Yarrowia lipolytica: one gene and its partners. The protein of the gene in region 3 interacts with the protein of the main gene of each other region in a pairwise test. Links are inferred from orthologs where the notes say so. Each region holds a gene or a part of one and is shown on either strand. Other genes may lie near its edges. The genes, in order: YALI1_D08715g, YALI1_B11519g, YALI1_A05821g and YALI1_F26915g.

Region 1 (3,419 bases), on a different chromosome or scaffold from region 3:
CGCCGACAATGGGTGACGAGATGCCCCTGTAGAAGCCCAGGAAGCCCTCGTTTCGGAACGTTTGCTTGAAACAGTCCAGCGGACCCTTGAACTGCGGGTTGACGTCACTCTGGGACTGCAGTCGCACCTTGACGGTGTCAAACGGGTACTCAAAAACCTTTCCTGTGGCGCCGGCAACGGAGCCGTAGAGCACGTCCTTGAGCGAGTCTTTGAGAGTGTCAGTGGTCATGGTGAAGTAGTAGTTGGCGAGCTTCTAGAGTAGCTGTAGCTGTAGCTGTAAAAGCCTTGTAGCTAAATGCGGGGGGCGTTGGTTTTGTGGCTGTGGGTTGTGGATCGATAGGTGAAGGACTGGCCGTGGGGGATGTGCGTCTTTATATCCTTTGTGGTTGTGTCACGTTCGTCTTTGGGAGCGTCGTTCTCAGACTGACCGATGATGTGCTTCGTTGAGTGAAAAGAAAGATAAACAGAGCCGAGCAATGAGTCGAGCGATGGGCCAGGCGATCTGTGAACGTGTCGAGTTGGCAAGTGGATCTCGGCTTTATACAACGGTTGATCTGTGTTGGACTTGCCTTGAGTGTGGTGTGATGAGAGATAGGTCGATGACTATGACTCTATGCTACCCGGTGTCTTTGGATGTTACGCCCCAGGTGAGGCGAACCGAATCTCAGTATGAAGAGGAGCTGTGGAAGGGGGACGCCAGTGGGGTCTCCGGGTTCATAGGGTGGTGGGATGAGGGTGTGGGGGAGGAGAAAGAGCTGCTAATGCGAAGAGACTGCAGCAGCAAATGCGATCTGTCTTTTGACCCTGCACTCTGCTAGACTCACCAATAAAATTTCTATTGAACCTTAGTCGACGGAGCTTATCCGGCGGTGGTGGGAAATTGTAGTGAGACATGGCCCGTCAGAGACCCGCCACAAGAGGACCATGGACAGGCCGAACCACCGTCGAGACACACGTCCAAGTGGTGTTTTTCCAACCGGAATCAGCGTGTCCACCAAAAAATCTCCTCCTAGACGGCCCCAACTCCTCCCCACCGCCGTCACTGGTCCTCCCCAGCCGCATCCTTCAACCACCCAGTTTTTCTGAAGCCAAAGTGCTCCCCGAAGCGTAGACCAAAAAAAAAAAAAACTAAAGAAAATTTGAAAATTTAAAAAAAACTAAGCCTATTTTTCAAGCTGTAGGGATCCATGTTGGACCTACAAGTAGGACTGCTGCGATAGACCGATAGACCGTGTGTCTTTCAGCTTCAGGGTTTGTGGCTCAAATGTCCCGAGTTTCCCGAATAGGCAGTCAACACACACGAGTCCTCCCGCGGACCCGGTCCCAAGCCTTGTTTGCAACATGGAAAAAATGTATCAAAAAATTGGGACCAGTGTAAAAAATGGCAACGAAACATGTTGACACACAGCAAAACCGTATACGGCACAAACCGGCAGTGTAAAGCTCCACTTTTGGGTGTAAACACGCGCCTTCTGGACCGGACGGGACCAGATGATGCTGTTGGATTGTTCTCGTGCCAGGTGGAGGAAGTGCCAGTCCTCCCTACCCTACTGTATCGTAGAGAGAGATAGCTCCGCCACCAGACGCTGGACGTGCGATAAGGAAAGACATGCTGCTGCACCGGCCAACGGTGTACATGACAGATGTGAGGGGTGCAGAACGGTGGCATGTGCTGTTGGGGTTGAAGTGGGAATAGCGAGCAAAATGCGTATTGGTGCGGTTCGAACGGGGGGTTTTCTGTTGTAGTGGGCCAGTTCAATTCCTGGCCATGTTGTTCTGCGCACGCCTTAGATTTGCCTTTCTGCATGAAGAAATAAATATCGAAAATCAATACACCAATTGCTACCCAACAGCACATAATGGTGAGTTCGAGGAGGATGTGAGGAGGGAAGGGGGGAGGGAATATGAGGAAAGGCGCAGCCGCCCTAACGCCTCCGACCATCTATGCGTCGTGAAAGAAATCAGATCGATCCTCCCAGGCATTTGCGGACGTTTTTCAAACGACTGTAATCTGACGACTTTGACATCTGACAATTGCTGGTTTTCAGCATCTCAATGTTCGTTTGGGAACTCTCTGACACGTCTGCAAATTGTGATTCATTTTGGATCAGACGCGGGCGCTTAGGATCAGACACAGGCACTTTGGATCAGACACACAGGGCACTTTTGCCTTCATATTCTTCACCACTAACCCAGTCTCGCCACGAAATATACTCCCCCGAAGGTCTGCGAACCGACGGACGACGGTGGAACGAGATCCGGAACTTTGACTGCAAAATCAACACCCACCCGACCTCGGCCGACGGCTCGTCGTACGTCGAGTGGGGCCACACCAAGGTGGTTTGCACCGTGGACGGACCTCGAGAGCCCGACAACCGCCAGAACACCACTGACCGGGCGGTCATCAGTGTCAATGTCAATGTGGCCTCGTTCAGCACAGAGACGCGGATCAAGCGGCAACGCAACGACAAGCGGCTCGCGGAAATGAACATTCTCATTCGCCAGCTGCTGGAGGAGGCGGTGCTGACCAAACTCAACCCCCGAACCCAGATTGCCGTCAATATCACCGTCATTGCCCAGGATGGCGGGCTTCTTCCTGCCTGCATCAACGCCGCCTGCCTGGCCATGATCGATGCCGGCGTGCCTCTCACCGACTATGTGTCTGCCTGTTCTTCCGGCGTCTACTCTAACAACGCTCTGATTGATCTCAACACCCTGGAGGAGCAAGACGTGCCGTTTCTGACGATTGGCGTCATTGGCAAATCTGACAAGATCTCAATGCTGACGCTCGAGACACAGCTGCCCATGGCGTCGCTGGAACCCGTGCTCGCCACCTCGCTGAGCGGGGCACACGCCATCCAGGACATTATGGACGCCGCCGTTAGAAAGCATGGTAAGCATAGACTCGAGAGAAAGTAACATAGCATCAGGGGCGAGGTGTAGAGAGAGGGAGATGAACGACGGAGGGATATCGGATGGTCTTCGATTGGGGCAAATGTCACTGTGGGAATTCGCAAACGGCACGTAAAAGGACTCGCAAAAGGACTCGCAAAAGGACTCGCAAAAAAACTCGCAAAAGGACTCGCAAAAGGGATTTGTCATGGGAACTCGACATGGGAACTCGACATTGAGAACCTCACCAAGGAGAACCTGCCCGTCATGACACTCATCTCTCTAATACGAGTAGACGCGAGCCTCTGAAGAGAATAGCCAATGATAGAACCTCTGTATACATAGATAAGATATTTTTATTACACATTTCAGACGACACCATTTCGGCTGGCTTTTTGAGATACCGTACACGTTCAGATTCTGCCTATGAAGCTGGTTCGAACCAGACTATCGCACCAGTCGGTTCAGCATGCGTTGTTTATTCTGATTGTATCATGATATCCGATCAAAGCCGTTATAAAAAGACA
Region 2 (3,409 bases), on a different chromosome or scaffold from region 3:
TGGACATGGACTCGGCACCGCCAGCAATGACAATGTCGGCAGATCCGGTCATGATGGCCTGGGCACCCTGGATGATGGCCTTCATACCGGAGGCACAGACCTTGTTGACGGTGGTAGCGACAATGGTGTCAGGGAGACCAGCCTTGAGGGCAACCTGTCGAGCAGGGGCCTGTCCGACGCCGGCGGAGAGAACGTTACCGAAGATGATCTCGTCGACCTGGTCGGGCTTGATGTCGGTCTTGGCGAGTGCGGCTGGGTTAGTAATGGGAGCGAGGGACGCAAGTGTCCAAGGCACGGGTGTCACGAGCGGACGACTTGATCACATTGGCTAGCAGATGGGGAGTGACTGCCTATGCCGCGATGAATCATCAACACTAGCGAATTCGCGATCGGTCGATACAAATACACTACAACGACAGCCGCAACATGGCCATTGGGATCAGTCGACCAACGACATCACCAGTGGTCTTGGTCGCGATTGTGCCAAGTAGCACATCTGTCATCTTATCACAGCCATCAGCCGTTTCGGTGAAGTCACAGTATCGTGAAGCAAGTTGAGCAACAGTTGTTCGTCGCGCTGTGTTTGTACTGCTCGTTCGGTGCCGTTCCTGTGTCACTCGTTCGGAGTCACTGTTCAGAGTCGTGTTTCATCATGTGCATCCTGTGGTACTCACCCTTCACGGCATGGGCTCCCAGATCCACGTAGGTCTGGCCGCTCAGCGAGCTCAGAAAAGAACCAATGGGGGTTCGAGCAGTAGAAACAATGTAGACGGGCTCCATCTTGTTGGTGTTGTGTTGGTGAAGAGGATGCGTGTGCAAAGTGAGTTTAACGGTATAAGTATTCGTGGTGTGTGACGTGAGTGAGAGAGAGGGAACACGACGATGATCGGCTTTGTGGTGGGTGAAGCTGTGGTGGGATAAAGACACAAAAGAGACAGAGTCCAGGTATATATAGACGTACCCTCCCCCGCTCCTCCTCTGAATTAAGCCTACATCATCACAGCACAAAGCACACTGCCTCCCCAACAGCTCCAGCAGAATGATGCGATCTCGTTAAAGTTTGAGCCGATGGGAACGAGCTACCCGGAGAAAGCGAGGAGCGACCAGCCTCAGCGACGGCGACGTGTACCAATAGTGTTTGGCTGTTTTTTTTTTTTTTGTTTGTTGGTGGAATAAATGTCGGATCATGGATCAATGAGAGAAAAAAGCGGAACAATTACGAAAAAACAGAAGAATCAAGGAAACACTGCCAAGTAGACGGAATAACCAGGAGAAAATTCGTCAACAAACGGAATAATCAGGTAGGCGGCCGTACCTGTACATCCTTGGAACTCTCAACTACCCTCTACAGGGTAACATCGATTGGTAATAGAATTACTTGCATGGACATTTGATGGACAGCTGTTGAGGTGCGATGACGAGTGTGAATGCGATTTGAACGAACGGAGCGAGCATGAGACACTGTACAGTAATTGTACATGATGAACCCGAAAGGTGTGAGCGTGAGAGTGAGTGTGATACAAGTATGAGTGAGAGTACCTTGTACGGTCTCGTACTATATTCATGTCTACAACCACTCTAGAATCGCTCTTTTCTAATGTTTTTGTGCTTGCTAAGAGTCTCACTAAGCATAGAAAGACCCATGATATCGTACTCTGACCTGTCTCCTTCAACGATACCTACTTATAGTCTGGTCGTTCACTCCGTCTCAGAGGCTCCTTCATTGCTTAAGCTCGAGATCATGAAAAGTTGGAGGCGAGTCCTGGGAGTGAAATTCTTTTTTTTATTTTTATTTTTTATTTTTTATTTATCCTTCTTTTTTTGGAAAGGCCGTTTTTAATCGAGAAAAATCATTATAAATCGAATGAGCCGAAATCGACCCTCAGATGGTATTATCTTGGTATAAATAAAATCGTGATAAACACCAGAAACCAAACGAACTGCCGACTTTCTTGCTGCCCGCATAAACCCAAATATTTTTGTTCACTCCGATCCTCACACACCATGATTTCAATCAACGACAGAAAATTCCTGACGGAGGCGCTCAAGGTCAGCAAGCGACTCGACGGACGCAGCATGGAGGAGCAGCGCCCCATGGAGGTGACATTCGGGTCGCAGTTTGGCCATGTGGAACTCACCATGGGAAAAACCAAGGTGGTGGTTCGTATCTCGGCAGAAATCACAAAGCCGAACGAGCGACGGCCCTTCGAGGGCATCTTTGTCGTGCACACGGATATCGGGTCGATGGCATCCCCGATATTCGAAAACAACCACCAGAGCGAGCAGGAGATCATGATTTCGCAGGTGGTGGAGAAGGCTGTGCGTCGAAGCGGAGCTCTGGATCTCGAGTCCCTGTGTATTGTGGCAGGCAAGAAGTGCTGGGAGATTCGGGCGGACGTGCACTACCTGGACTTTGATGGCGGACTTGTAGACGCCACTTGTGCCGCTGTTATGGCAGGTCTGTACCATTTCAAGAAGCCCGACGTGGATGTGGATGGCGGAGCTGTGACCGTGTGTGACATGGAGGAACGCCATCCCGTGGCTCTGAGTGTGCTTCATCTACCTGTTTCTGTAACCTACGGCCTGTTTGAGCTCAAGAACGACGAGACCAACGAAGTTGAAAAGGTGGAGTGTGTTTTGGACTGCACTGCCATCGAGAGACAGGTTCAGAATGCCGAAATCACAATCACAATCAACAAAAACAGAGACATTTGCCAGATTAGCAAACCCAGTGGAGTGTCGATCGAGGGCTACCGAATAGTCGAGCTGTGTGAAAAGGCATTCCAGGAGGCGCTCAAGGTGACTGAGATGATTGACAAGGCGCTGAAGGAGGACGAGGAGATGCGAAACAAGGGAAATTGGAAGGCCTTGTTGAGTGCTGAGAACGACCGATACGAGAAGTAATCTAAGAGCCCAAGAGTCCAAGAGCACAGTGAAGTGATCATTCCCTGTACCAATCATGGTTTTGGATCTGGTTTTGGATCTGAGAACCAGCGCCTTCATATTGGATACACACCCTCACAGAGAGCATTCCTGACAGAGTGCTGACAATGATAACAAGGATAGGAGCTAGCAAAGGTTACTCCCCCTGCTGGTCTGCTCTACTTGTGCTAGAACGACATCCTCATCTAAAAGATAACTTCTAATAGGTAACGTATAGATAGATGCATTATGGATATTTACGGTAGACGGTGTGAAGCGCGAAGATGTAATTGAAGAATAGGTGCTACTAGCGAGTGTTAAGTGCTATGGGTACAAGCACCAGTTCGAGTGGCCAAAGGTATAGGAACATGCTCCTTGCAGAGTCCCAGTGAAAGGTGGAAGAGAGAGGTCGAGACCGTTTCGAGTGGCAGGGAGTGTGTAGATATAACATCATAGCACCTACAATGTGTTGTAGTAAGAGTTTGCC
Region 3 (3,168 bases):
ATCCCCACAAGTTTACAAACATTGACTGCGACGTTGAGTTGGTCTACCAGAAGAACAAGGAGCAGGACTTGCAGAACTGGATTGTGGTTCTATTTGTAGGCGATATTCCTCCGACTGCGACGTTTCCTCCACTGACGCAGACAACAATGAAGACTCCGATATGGAACTGATCAAGCACGAGCTCAAAATCAGACATCATGGAAAGAAGCCGTCCATCTACTACAAGAAGGGCAAGTTTGATGGCATAAGAGGCGTCCTGGCAACAGATATGACAAAAAGGAGTACTGTACAGTACAGTACTTCAAGTTGTACCATGAGGCGTATCGGAGAGGGTCTGGTTACACGGATCCTAAAGACAAACCCCAAGCATGGCTAGTGGTATCATTCTTAACCATGAGAAACGAACCTTCTATATATTAAATTGAATGGTACAGTATATACTGTATCTGACAGATTAGTATCTCCAGTTCCATCAAAAAAGGTGTACCATACGATACACCACATGCAATACCTATATACCTACTTGGCCTCCTCTTTGACCTCAGCCTTGACCTCCTGCTTATAAGGAGAAGCGCACTTTCTCTCTTCCGTCAGGCCAGTCACAGGACAGGCCATGGTCTGCCAGTCGGTAGCGTACATCAACTCTCCGATTTTCGATCGAGCGAACAGAACTCCGAGCTCGTTCTTGGCTGTAGAAAGGTAGTAGTTGGCACCATCTCCGAGAGAAATGACCTGTGCTCGCACGATATCACCGGGCTTGAAACACAGCTCCATTTTGACCTTGTCTCGCTCGGTGGCTCGCACATCAATGGACCGAATGATACCACCGAAGCCCTCACCGAGATCTGATCGAATAGCGCCTTCCACCAAAGAGCCCGCATTTGACAGAGGGTTGCTGTGGATACCGTTCTCGTTGCCATTGAGTCCCAAACCCGCGTCCTGGCCCACTCCTCCCTGGCCCTCCACCACCAGAATCTCCACGTTGGCCTGTTTCGACGTGAGCTTTGAAACTCGTGCAAGAATGTAATCGCCAACCTTGGGCAGTCCCGACGAAGCCGAGGGCGACACATGGGATGTAGTAGGTGTAGTTGAAGATGAATCGTCACCCTTGGTCTTCTTCACAATGTTGACCGTGTAGCATGAGCCCTTGGTATCACGTGACTTGTCGTTGTGCTCCGCGCTCTCCTGTCGTTCGCTCAGCACCACCTTTCCCGTAGCTGTGGCGACAATGGCCTTGGCCTGCGACTTGCCAGCAACCTTGGCCTCGGAACCTTCCACAACTCGAACAGCCGTGCCGATTCCGGGGTAAAACTTGTTGCCGTCTCGGTCGACAACGAGAGATATTAAAATTCCAGGTGTAACGAATCCGGGGATCATGTTTTTGTGTGCTGTAAAATGTCCTTTTGTATGGGGTTTATGTTCGATTCAGCCATGCTGTGATGATTATGCATGGTAGTAATTTTTTAAGGTTGGGTTACCCGGAAGTCATTGGAGGCGGGTGGAACGGGAGGGGTCGCGATATGGAGAGATATAGTGGAGATATGGGATTACAAATGGTGGAATTTGTCTAGGCGGGTGTTTTAGAGATATTTTATATGGATTTTTTGTCACATTTGGCTGCTTATGAGCGTACTTGATGCGTGTTTTTTTTCTGATGCTTATGTTAGTTTGGTAAATAAATAGTTGAGTTTAGTTAGATAGTTGGGAAGTGGAATAGTTAGGCCATTGATTTGGATAGTAGTGATAATACCTGGGTGTAATACCTGTGATATGGATTTTGTTTCCGTATCTTCCTTGGTGCAATTGAGATGGTTGTTGAGAGCATTTTACTACCAAGAACTGCATTACCTCCATCTCCAATCCACCTGCCTTTCATACCAGCTGACAGGATATTTTCTGCGAGTAGAAAACATGCACCCTCATGCTATCATAATAATCGCGGCACCTATTCCCCTCACTTTCTATGGTCTTGGTCTTCCATAGCTTCTCCTGCTCGTATCTCTTCATGGTTTTGCTGTCAACGAACTTGGCCACAAACTTGTCGTCGACAAACCCCATAACGATGTCAGGATTCCTCTGATCCTTTTTAGGAGTAAACACATTGGTAGCAGTGGTGCTGGCAAGATCAATCACTAACACTCCCTCCATGAAGTTCCTCAACAGGAAGCGGCCTAGACCTGGCTTTTCACACTGACGGAAATGGTTGTTCAGGTCTCCGTAACCACTCACATTTGCGACCATAACAGTCTTGTCTCTTCTGGAGAAGAAGATCCCTGGCTGTTGCAGATCCACAAAAGGGAACACCACCAGGTGAGGCCATCAGAGACAGCAACAGGCTGAGCCGTGGTGGTGAAATGATCGCGTATCACTTTGTGTTGGAGGTCGAAGAACTGGTACTTCTCACCTTTTGAGCCGAAATAAAGAATATTGGCGCGATTCTTCAACTCTCTGCGATCGAACCTGTATTGAAGCGCGTTCTTGAAATGAAAGGGCTTGTCCCGCGGAAAGACATAGACCGTAATTGCTGTGGCGGCAGCTTTATCCAGCAGCTGGTTCCACGGTTGTTGAAACTGCTGTCTTTTGGGTTGTCATCGGGGCATCAGTGTAGCGTGCTTCTGCACCAGAAGATTCACAGCAGTTGCACACTATTGCTTAAATGCGGGAACGGGGAGCGGGGGGATGAGGGGCAATTTCCCGCTTGAACTTCTCGTTGAACTGCTGGAAATGAGCTGCTGTGTCTGCTTCTTCCTGTCTGAACGCCGTCTAGAGTCTGTTGGTGCGGTCTTTGCGCTGCTTGAGAGTACCGGTGTCGCCCATGTCGGGAACGACCTGTTGTTGTTTTTTTGGTGGCATTGAGAAGGAGCTATGACGAATTAATGTCGTCGATGTAGATGTCAAGTGTAGTTGGAGAAGCGCATCCCTGACGCGTAAGGTACATGAACGTGGAGTTTGTTTTGGGAGGTTGTTTGGTCAAATAATGTAGAAGGCTGATAGTTGGAGGTTTGAGTAATGACTGGGAGATTGGTTGGAAAGGTCAACTAAACACCAACTAACTAGAAAGCAAGTAAACAACTCATACTAACCGGAAGCGTCGAAAAGGTGCTTTCCACCGAACAGTTATGATCGATCTTCGACTTTTAGGAGTTATTTATATCTTCCCATGTAGTA
Region 4 (2,745 bases), on a different chromosome or scaffold from region 3:
ACACGAGAAGGTCGTGATGTTTGTTTGAAAAGGCATCCAATGAATCCTTGACACGTCCATATGATGCAAAAAACAGACCCATGTAGGGTGCGATTGAGATGATGCTGCTGGATACGCCTCTGAAGAATCCCAGGGGCCCTTCCGTCTTGTAGATGAGTTTGAAGGTCTGAAACAGGGACGTGTAGTTTTTCACGTTGCAGTTCTTGGCTCCCTGAGCTGCAAACAGTGTTCTGAACAGATCAAAAGGATACGTGGCGATAGTAGCTCCTGCTCCTGCCGTTGCTCCGGCGATAAAAGACTGAGCACCGGACGAAATCTTCCATTTCTCTGCCGTTTCGTTGTAGGCATTGATCACCTGGTTGACATGGTGGTATGTCACAAACTGGGTAGCTCCATAGAAGACATACAGCAGTTCTGCGGGAATATTTCCCTTCCACAGCGCCGTGACACCCTCGTCACGAACAATCTGTTGCATCGTCTGAAAAATGCCCCGATAATAGCGACTTCCATCTTTTTGCAGTTGTAGTCTGATCTTGACCACGTCCAGAGGAGCTATGCAAAAACGCGACACCATGCCGGCAATGCCGCCACAGAGCATGGACTCCGTTGACGAGATATCCGAGTCGCTGGAAAGGTGGTTGGACATGGGTGGTGAGCAGTAGGTTGGTGTCTTCCTTCTCTTGTTATTGTTTAAATGATTTCAGTTGGCTCTCGTTTCCAGTCCCGTGCACCAAGCTAAAATTAGAGTTTACGACCGGAAAAATTCCACTCAGAAAGAGTCGGCTATTGAAGATAGGTGTGGACTCTTGTATTGTTGGTTTACGTAGATGAAAAAATAATCTGAAAAGGTGATTTTGGTTACCAAACCAGTCTCTTCACAATTACAAACAATTTTTCTCCTTTATACAAAAGCATATTCAGTTACAAGCACTTTGAGCTAACATCACAACCGCATCCTTGCATCATCCCTCTATTGAAAAATACGAGCCTATTCCAGTTAGAAATCAACCAGCCCTTGCTCCAATCGTGCGGCATCGTTAGTCAGGGTTTGGCGGTGGTTGTATAGTGGGGAGCGTGGGTGGAACATTGCTACAGTGAGAACGATATTGTACAATACAGTAGTTACATAATAACACTATCGAGCCACTTACTCAGGAGCCCTTGTCTTTTGTTTTGGAGTCACTATCATTTAGTGCTATAAAATGGTTAATATTGTAACTATTACTTGGACTACAATTGTAGCTACTAATTGTAGTAGGTTGCTACTACCACGGTTCTTGCAGCTGTAGGTACTGGTTTGTACTTGTCATCGCTACCGTTCTCTCTCAGAGCTATCAGTATACACCTACAGACATAAGGACCGGATTAAAAGATTCCAGGGCCCATAAGAACCCACATGAGACAACAAATAATACAACTCACGTGAATAATAGAGGTTTGCCCCGATTCAATTTTCAGACACCACTTAGTCATCATCACCTCTCTGATAAAGTTCATATGCAAGAAATATTTCGAGGATGCCATATTGCCATTAACCATCACCAGCATACAAAAACACACACAAAATGAACATTTTGAACAATGTGGATGGATCTGCCAAATGGGAGCAAGGAACAAGTGTGATTTGCTCGGTCACGGGTCCCATAGAAACTCGGCGACGGACAGATGAACCTACACTAGCTCAGGTGGAGCTGGTGATTCGTCCTGCTATTGGACAGGCCACAACCCGGGAGACACTGATTAAGGATCGAATCTACAGTGTTTTGGCCGCCACAGTGGTGCGAAACTTGTACCCTCGCATGTTGCTTCAGATTGTGATTCAGATTCTTGAACAGGGTGAAGGAACCGGATACAACGTGCTCAAGCTAGCGGCATGTCTGAACGCCATGTGTCTGGCATTGATTGACAGCAGAACGCCCATGACTGGTCTTTTTACAGCAGTCGCCATTGCCATTGTCGACGATAAGCTCATTTTGCATCCCACTCGAAAACAGGTGTCTCAGTCGACGTCTACACATGCTGTTTCGTATTTCGTGGAGAACAACAAGGCCACGGGTCTGTTGATGTGTGAGAGTGAAGGTGAGTTCACCGAGAACCAACTGTTTGAGGTGCTTGAGCAGGCCGCACGTGCATGTGAAGACGTGGCTCTGGATATGAGAGAGCGGATTGAGAAGGGTGTTAAGGAGGGCCTTCGAATTGATGCTGGGCAGGAGTAATGCATCGGTAATTTATACCTATTAATGGATAGACATGAAAAGACACGTAATAATGGGCGGATGACAGGATGTACTGTAGTTTATGACACACTTGAATGATACATAGTAGGGCAGGAGCCTGTAGGATTTCTATAGAAGGATCGACATGTTGAAGTAGGATCAAAGACACGTATAACGAATCCAACGTACAAGTACAAGTATGGATGTACTGTACTTTTTTGGTATCAATCATACAAATACAACAGCTGTCTCTTAGTTACTTCTACAAGTTCATATTAATGCACACACGTATATTTACTCACACTACCTTTACACTCTCATACAATACAATACACATTATTCATTCAGTAGAGATTTACAAGATCCACCTAAGCAGAAAGCTTCTTGAAGTCCTCAACCATGGAGTTGAGACCCTCGATCTCGGCGGTCAGAGCCTCAAATCGCTTGGTGTTAGACTCCTGGACGTCGGCTCGCACCTTGGTCTCGTAGTCCTTAACGGCCATCTGCTTCTCGAGCGAAGCCTTGGACT

The links.
Region 1: the proteins of YALI1_A05821g (region 3) and YALI1_D08715g interact in binary tests that used the Saccharomyces cerevisiae proteins (3 or more experiments, as listed by UniProt). The link is inferred for Yarrowia lipolytica from reciprocal best matches to the Saccharomyces cerevisiae genes CSL4 and SKI6.
Region 2: the proteins of YALI1_A05821g (region 3) and YALI1_B11519g interact in binary tests that used the Saccharomyces cerevisiae proteins (3 or more experiments, as listed by UniProt). The link is inferred for Yarrowia lipolytica from reciprocal best matches to the Saccharomyces cerevisiae genes CSL4 and RRP45.
Region 4: the proteins of YALI1_A05821g (region 3) and YALI1_F26915g interact in binary tests that used the Saccharomyces cerevisiae proteins (3 or more experiments, as listed by UniProt). The link is inferred for Yarrowia lipolytica from reciprocal best matches to the Saccharomyces cerevisiae genes CSL4 and RRP46.

The regions. Positions count from the first base shown.
Region 1 is NC_090773.1:870,219-873,637, reverse strand, and holds YALI1_D08715g (uncharacterized protein), read left to right. Parts: upstream 1-2,055; coding exon 2,056-2,919; downstream 2,920-3,419. Other genes in the region: YALI1_D08734g (uncharacterized protein), read right to left, coding at 1-229. UniProt on the Saccharomyces cerevisiae protein: Non-catalytic component of the RNA exosome complex which has 3'->5' exoribonuclease activity and participates in a multitude of cellular RNA processing and degradation events.
Region 2 is NC_090771.1:1,150,588-1,153,996, reverse strand, and holds YALI1_B11519g (uncharacterized protein), read left to right. Parts: upstream 1-2,004; coding exon 2,005-2,904; downstream 2,905-3,409. Other genes in the region: YALI1_B11532g (uncharacterized protein), read right to left, coding at 1-252, 675-780. UniProt on the Saccharomyces cerevisiae protein: Non-catalytic component of the RNA exosome complex which has 3'->5' exoribonuclease activity and participates in a multitude of cellular RNA processing and degradation events.
Region 3 is NC_090770.1:580,387-583,554, reverse strand, and holds YALI1_A05821g (uncharacterized protein), read right to left. Parts: upstream 1,378-3,168; coding exon 520-1,377; downstream 1-519. Other genes in the region: YALI1_A05836g (uncharacterized protein), read left to right, coding at 1-170; YALI1_A05813g (uncharacterized protein), read right to left, coding at 1,873-2,241.
Region 4 is NC_090775.1:2,690,348-2,693,092, reverse strand, and holds YALI1_F26915g (uncharacterized protein), read left to right. Parts: upstream 1-1,565; coding exon 1,566-2,216; downstream 2,217-2,745. Other genes in the region: YALI1_F26924g (uncharacterized protein), read right to left, coding at 1-646; YALI1_F26873g (uncharacterized protein), read right to left, coding at 2,585-2,745. UniProt on the Saccharomyces cerevisiae protein: Non-catalytic component of the RNA exosome complex which has 3'->5' exoribonuclease activity and participates in a multitude of cellular RNA processing and degradation events.